Cricetulus griseus: one gene and its partner. The protein of the gene in region 1 purifies or fractionates together with the protein of each later gene. This does not show direct contact. Links are inferred from orthologs where the notes say so. Each region holds a gene or a part of one and is shown on either strand. Other genes may lie near its edges. The genes, in order: Pitpnm3 and Vapa.

What was found.
Region 2: the proteins of Pitpnm3 (region 1) and Vapa purify together in Homo sapiens (co-immunoprecipitation; 3 studies listed by BioGRID and IntAct, with this or other methods). This does not show direct contact. The link is inferred for Cricetulus griseus from reciprocal best matches to the Homo sapiens genes PITPNM3 and VAPA.

The regions. Positions count from the first base shown.
Region 1 is NC_048600.1:85,950,752-85,954,570, reverse strand, and holds part of Pitpnm3 (membrane-associated phosphatidylinositol transfer protein 3), read left to right. Parts: intron 1-3,484; coding exon 3,485-3,592; intron 3,593-3,819. UniProt on the Homo sapiens protein: Catalyzes the transfer of phosphatidylinositol and phosphatidylcholine between membranes (in vitro). Binds calcium ions.
Region 2 is NC_048595.1:454,539,600-454,543,418, reverse strand, and holds part of Vapa (vesicle-associated membrane protein-associated protein A), read left to right. Parts: intron 1-873; coding exon 874-996; intron 997-3,819. UniProt on the Homo sapiens protein: Endoplasmic reticulum (ER)-anchored protein that mediates the formation of contact sites between the ER and endosomes via interaction with FFAT motif-containing proteins such as STARD3 or WDR44.

The DNA of each region.
Region 1 (3,819 bases):
AGCATTTTGGAGGGGTGGGCAAGTGAGAGTGAGAACAGGGCAGAGCGACAGGGAGAGGGAACAACCCAGGGGGAGATTTGAGAAAGGGAGCAGGAGGCAGGGAGGGAGGGAGGGAGGGAGACAGACTGAGACTGAGGTGTGGGGTGGAGGTGTGGGGTGCATAAGACAGCCAGTGATCCAGAAGAGGAGAGGGCAAAGGGCAGGATAAGCCTTGCATATGGAGTGAGGACTCTAAGTAGGAGGAGACAAGATCCTGCAGAAGGAATGCAACTCCAAAGACATGGGAGAGATTAAACAGGCCCTTCCTCTCAGAGAAAAGGAGAGACCCAGAGGCAGGGGAGGGGGACAGATACTGGGTGTGGTAGAACAAGGGAGAGACAGTGAGGAAGTCTTGGGAGAGCACAGCCAAGTTCAAGGACCATGGAAGGTACAGGCTCATGGGAAGAGAACCCCAAAGAGCCCACCTTTGGGCTGAAGGGACTGGAAACCAGGCAGGAGAGATCGTGCTGAGTTTGTGAAAGAAAGAGGTGTTTGGCCAAAAACAAGACAAGAGACCAAAAACAAAGGGAATTGAGCCATATAGGAACCAGGGAGAGAGAGACAGAAAGAAATAGAAAGTTATATAGAAGTCAGCATGCTCAGAGCTAGGGAGCCCTTTCAGACCCCCAAGGGCACTAAAGGCCTCACATACACCCCTGGGGTGGAATCTCTTGCATTATAGGAATCACTAATTAGCATGTAATGATCACCTACCTGGCACTGCACCTGGCATTCCACTCTCTGGTCTTCCCACATCGTAGTTCTTTATGGTGGTGTCCTCCACATCACTGGTTTCCTGTGGGACAGAGAAAACATCCTACACACACACATTATGTGCTTAGGAGTCTATTCGCTGTAGCATGGTTGTTGAAATGGGCAAAGGAATACTTGCTTGCTTGGGTAACCAACTGAGCCAAGAGACAGAATTAAGGCATGTGCCACTATGCCTGGCTTTGTGGTTCTGTTTCTTCAAGGATAACACCACCTTATATATTTACAGTGTTTTAGCTTGTGTAATTCTTTCAAGTTTATTATAGTATTTGTCCCTGTGGCAGCTTGCTAGAAGAGTTGGAGAGCTACCTCTGTGTGTGTGTGTGTGTGTGTGTGTGTGTGTGTGTGTGTGTGTGTGTGTGCAAAAACAAAGCTCATAGCTTTTACAATTGACACCAGAAGCTGGTTAGAGCTCTGCCCAGTATTAGATACTACTTAACAGGTGTGAACTTGTCACCAGAAAGAACACACCTGGCTGAGAAAGCTGTCCAGGTGTATGAGGCCAACCAATACAGGATGTCTGGGACAGAGTATTGAGAGGGTGAAATGTCAGGGTAGGGCTTTCTTTACCCTCTATTTTGTGAGACAGATTCTCACATGTACCCTAGGTTGGCCCCAAACTTATGATCCTCCTACCATGGCTTCCCAAGTGCTGGGATTACAGATATATGCCACAATGGCAGGCTTAGGGATAACTGAGTGCACCCAATTCCCACTATATCTGGTTTTGAATCTGGGTGCAAGGCAGAAATCTTGAGCAAGGATTATTCAACTTCTGTTTTTTTCAGTTTTCTTGTCTACAAAATAAAGATAGTAATCATTGTTTCTTCTTCTTGTTGTTGTTGTGTGTATAAGATGTTGGGTTGTGTTTGTAGGGTGCATATACTCATTACTGTGGGTTTGCTCGTGTGTGTGTGTGTGTGTGTGTGTGTGTGTGTGTGTGTGTGTGTGTGTGACGTGGAAACCAGAGGTTGATGTCGGGTGCTTTTTTTTTTTTTTCTTTTTTTGATGACTCTTCATCTTTACTTTTTGAGGCAGGGTCTGAAACTCGATTTGACAAGGCTGTTCTGGTCAAGCAGCTTCAGGATCCACCTGTCTCTGCCCCACAACTTCCAGCACTGGGGTTACAGGAATGTGATGCTATTTTTTTTGTAGGTTCTGGTAATCTGTAAGTCTTCATGCTTGTGTAGCATGATGTTATTGACAAAGCCATTTCTAGCCCCATTATTAGTCCCATTTTTGTGAGAATTTAATTAATTTTCTTTTTTTTTTTTGCTTGATGTGGTTTGAGATAGGGTTTTATGTAGTCTGGGCTGGGCTTGAATTCACTATGTAACTAAAGCTGCCTTGAACTTCTAGTCTCCTGCCTTCACCTTCTGAGTGCTAGGATTGCAGACATGCACCACTATGTTTAGCTTATGAATTAATATTTGTAAATCACGTATACCCATATCACTAGAAAAAGTTTCATAAGGACTGTTAAATCAATCAAATAAATAACACAATAAGGCAGGAGGCATTTTCAGAGATGAGATCTGAATTGCTGAGTGCTAGTGTGAGTCAGAACGCTGGACAGCTCCCAAACCTTTCAGTCCACCATGTTGGTTGCTGGAGAAACCCTCTAACAGAAAGGCAGATATCAGCTTTTATTGTTCATTATCCTGAACCTTCTCAACATCCTTGCTGACTGTGATGTGAAGGAAGGCACAAAGCTCTTCACCACAAGGGCTCATCTAGGGGTGGGCACTGGCAATGAGAAGTGTGTCTGTTCCCACAGGTGTGCTCTTTTCCTTCCCATGATAAGGGACTGTGTCACATGTGTGGTGGGAGACCCAGAGGCTTGTTTATGGTGTGGACAGGGAATATGATCCCACTGCTTCTTGCCAGAATAATCATTAAGTACAGAGACAGGGCTGGGGGAGTTGAGCAGGAATGGAGACATTAAAAGGTTTCTGCAGTTGAGATGGAAGCTAAGGTCTCCATACAGTTCATACAGCTTAGAACCAGAAGACTCCCCCCACTCCTTACCTCAGAGCTGTTCCAGCAGCTCTCCAGTCCCAGCCAGCCTAAGTCCTGCTCGTGAATGACTTGTCAGGAGAAGAAATGAGCACAGTGGCTCTTATCTCTGGGTGCCCTCTGTGCACTGAGGCTCTGAAATCCTTCACCTCATTTGATCCTTCCCAGAACCCTGTGAGCTGGACATTGCCTGTCTCATTTTACTGATGGGGAAAATGGAGGTTCATAGAAGTCCAGACACATTCCTGAAGAAAGACTGTGGGCAAATCATGAGTTTTTGGTTCTTTCTTTCCAAGAAATGCCAGTCTCCATTCTAGGAGTGGATGATTGCCTCGTTGTCACTTTCTTTTGCTGTAGCACATAGGACCCTAGTGAGTCACAGCAACAAGGCATGGTTGCAATGACAAATTCCTCAATAGTTTAGTCCTGTAGGTGAAGATTCTTTCAGTAGTCAAAGTCTTGGGTGGAGGATGAAGCTCAGTGGTAGAGCACTTGTCTGGCATGTGCAAGGCCCCGGGTTCCATCTCTAGCACTGCAAATGAAAATGTTCAAGTATATTTCAATTTATGGGTGAAATGAGTACTCCCTGACACAGCTATGGTTAAGGCCAACCCTACCCAGCCCTGTCTACTAATATCCATCTCTCCCCTTCCCTCAGAGGAGGTGGCTGAAGGTAAGAGCGCCATCCTTATTGGAATGAGCCAGTGGAGCTCCAATGACCTGGTGGAGCAGATTGAGACCATGGGGAAACTGGATGAGCATCAAGGTGAGCCTCTGCTTCCCCCAAGACCTTGCTGTGCATGTGTGTTACAGGATGGGGGTAGAGGCTACCATTGTGCCTGGGACCTATAGGACTCTCTGTGTGGGGGGGCATCTGGGGTTGCCTAGGCCAAAACAACTACAGGGCACTTCAACAGGATACTTCCTTTGTTCATAGAGTGGCACTCAGGAACCATAGGTAATTAGGGGCAATCTAGGTCAAACTGTTAGAGT
Region 2 (3,819 bases), on another chromosome or scaffold:
CAGAATCAGTCTCATTAACGGCCACCACACTTGCCTCAGTTACTGGTAGTATTTTTAAGGATGGAATGAGGCTATATTGTTTTTGACCTTTTATAACCTATCAGTCTGAATTTGAGTTTTAAAAACATAAAAAGCCTTAACTCTACTTGATATTTTCCTTATTAATTAAGTGTATATATTTAGTGTACTTGCTCTCTACAAACATCTGATAGTAAAATACTTTCTGCAAAAGCTTTTGCATTAATGACAACAAGGGGTCCGAATGGAGCAGGAGTCAGGAGCCTTCTGTATTTCAGAGTACATGCTACTTTTGTTGAGACAGAATAGATTGGATGTCTGTTAAATACTATTTTGTGCCAACCTTGTTGAGTTACTCTATGTTAACTATACTAAGAGGACTTGAGGTAAGTTGGGAACTGTGGATTTACGATAGGCTAACCAGAGTGTTAATCAGTCTTTGGGTTTTAATGGCCTGCTGTGTGTTTGGGAGGTGACGGGGCCCTGAGAATAAAAGAGGCCTACAGATCATTAGCAGTTTTTAGCTTTCAAGGGAAAAATGTTCACGTCAAGTGTTATCAAAGGTAAGAGAACATGAAGCTGAATATTTTTCAGATAATGACAAGTATGAGTTGTTTTTGTTTTTAAAGTATATACATTTAAGTGGAAGTATGCAAAAGGCCATACCTAGTTTTGTGTGAGAAATAATACGAAAAGCCAGTTTTGCTTTGATGTTCTGTTTCTTATGCATTATTTTTATGGAATAAGATGTCAATGTTTTACAGGCTAAAGCTATTTGTGTTAGTCATTCCCAATATCATACAGGAGAAATCAGTTTGGTATGAATCTGAGAATATTTTTCCCATGCTACCTCAGGGTAAAACTCCACCAGGGATTGCTTCAGCTGTCACTTCAATCAGCACCGTCAGCAACACAGTTGCAACACCTGCCAGTTATCACATGAAGAATGATCCCAGGGAGCTAAAAGAGCTGAAGCAGGTTTGTCATAGGAGCTAACAGAAGTAGGCGTCTACTAGTGTTAGTAAGTTAATGTAGATACCTTACCTAAGGAGATAAGTAATATTGAGTGTATTAAAGGTTAGAATTTTAAAAAGCCTTTTTGAAGCAATATCTCATGTTGCCTAGATTGGCCTCTAAACTCATTGTGAAGCCAAGGATGACAAACTTCTTACCCTCCTGCCTCCACTTAGAAGTGCTGAGACTGCACCTGGTTCTGTGTTGGGGCTGGAGAGAGCCCAGGACTTCTGCATGCGGGCAGCCTACTGACTGTCACCATCCTCAGCATTCACACTTGAAGCTGATTTTAAAATTACAATAGGGCTGAAAGGTACAGGGACAGCTCTGCTCTGAAACAATGGTCAGTGGAGTCACAGTTGGACATAAAAGTGAACACTGTTGAGTTCGTGTGGCTTTTCCCTTGAACGAGATTTGGGGAGCATATGCTGAAAATTGAATTTGTAGCTTGTTTGAATTAGCCTAGAAGGTACATAGTAATTAGTGAGAGTGAGAGCTGGCAAACACTGCTTTTCAACAAGCATTTGTGTTTGCATAAAGAAAATACAAGAATAGTAACCTTTATTTACCTGTAATGCCCTGGGATTTAGAAAAAATTTTCTGACTAAAATTGAGGCCATAATTTACCTCTGCATGTATATCGTTGAATGCTAATAAGGTTAGGGTATCTGAGTTTGTTGGTAGAATGGGTTCTGTGTAATTCTTTTAAGCATTTATTACTTACAGGAAAGTTCAGAAATGTTTATACGTTCTTGTTCTTCTGATTTGACTTAGAATAGGATATACATAAAAGAAGGCTTTAAACATTTTTAGATTTCATTTTACATGTGTGGGTGTTTGCCTACATGTTGTGTGTATGCACACCACTTGTACCTTATGTCAGTGGAGGTCAGCAGAGGCATCAGGTCCCCTGGAACCAGGGTTACAGATGGATGTGAGACACCATGTTGGTGCTAGGAATCAAATCCAGGTCTTCTGGAAGAACAGCCAATTTTTTTTTTTTTTTTAAACAGTTGAACCATCTCTAGCCCCCTTACCAAGGCTTTATTTTTTATTTTTTTCAAGACAGGGTTTCTCTGTGGCTTTGGAGACTGTCCTGGAACTAGCTCTTGTAGACCAGGCTGGCCTCGAACTCACAGAGATCCATCCTCCTGCTAATAAGGCTTTAAAAATACCTTTCATTAGCTGAGTGCATTGGTGCAGTTGATGTACACTAGGGAGGCAGAGACAGGCACAGAACTCTCGTGAGTCCAGGGCTAACCTGGTCTGTATAGCTAGTTCCAGGCTATCTAGGACTGCATGGTGAGACCTGTCAACAAATCTTTTATCTAAATTTTTAATTCTGTTTGGCCTTATATTTGGAATTATTTTTTTGTAATCATGGGCCTAGAGAAACCATGCATTTGCTGTTAGATTAGGAAGAAAAAACATTCAGAGAGCATTGTTGTTCAGATACTTCAATTCACAGATTAAAACTTTAATTCTGACAACATAGCCATACACCGTCTTTATGTATTGACAACCCTTTACTCAACACAGTGATGAAAATGTCCTTTAGTTCCTGTCTTCACAGAATGCATTGCAAATGCTTGTAGATTTGACCTTGACTTTCTATGTGTAGTCCCTAGCTCCTTTCTGATAGCCCCTACAAAGTTAGTACAGTGGAAATCTCTGTGTGGGGCTACCGCAGACAGGCAGAAAGAATACAGTGGTGGAGAATGTATGGCATACAGTCTTGACACTGTAGCCTATTCTCACCCGAGGTGCTAAGGTTGGCTTATTTCATGGTCCTAGTCCCCTGTCTGCTGGGATTAATGGTGAGCATTACACCCCACATTTATTTGGGACTTTAATTTTTTATTTTAAAGTCATTAGAATTCCCCTCTCTCCACTACTAGCTTCATATATATCATTCTGTAGTCAACACTGGGCCAACAGTATGATTTTCTTCTGCATTTTTTGCTCCTGTACTTGGGGTTGAGCCAATGACCATTATGTGTGTGAGGCAAATGCTCTGCTGCCCAGCACTGTCTTCGTTGTTAGGCAACACTTGAGGACTCGTCTGTTGTTGAGTACTGCCTGCCTTACAGAGGGAGGCACATGCTTTCCCCTTTGAAATTCAGGTTGGGTTGTGCAGGATGGGGTATGAAAACTCAGTTTGAAGTGAATTTTAATTATTGTCAAGAAAATAGAGTAAATATTTTAGCAAAATATATCAGGTACAGACTTTTTATACTAGAGATGGACTTGGTTGGACATTAGGGAGATTGCGGTAAAGAACAAATGTCAGCAGGAGAAACTCAGAGCAAATTGAGGTAATTAAGTCTCTTCACACTTGAAAAGTGGGAAATGTGCGGGCAGGTCAGGTAGTCAGGGTTGTGCACTAGAACCCCTTGTTGCCCTCAGAAAGTACTGGCACGGGCAGCTTCAGGAAGAAGACTTGGTTTGAGGAGCAGTGCAGTCTAGCACCAGTAGCTGGTAGTCTGCAGGCAGGAGACAGCGGTGAATGCTGGTGCTCATTGCTCTTCCTTTTTTTTTTTCTGTTGAGGACCCGCCCATGTGACGGTGCCACTCACTCACTCACTCACTCACTCACTCACTCACTCACTCACTCACTCACAATTAGGGTCTGTTGCCCCATCTCGATTAACCCAGTATAGAAAAGAAAGAATTTTGCAGCCCTAGGTGATTCTAGACCTGTCTGGTTGACAGCATTAACACTGTAGTCCCATTGGCCACCAGAGTGGTTCTGCACAGTCTCTGATCCTGGTACAGATGACTGCTGTG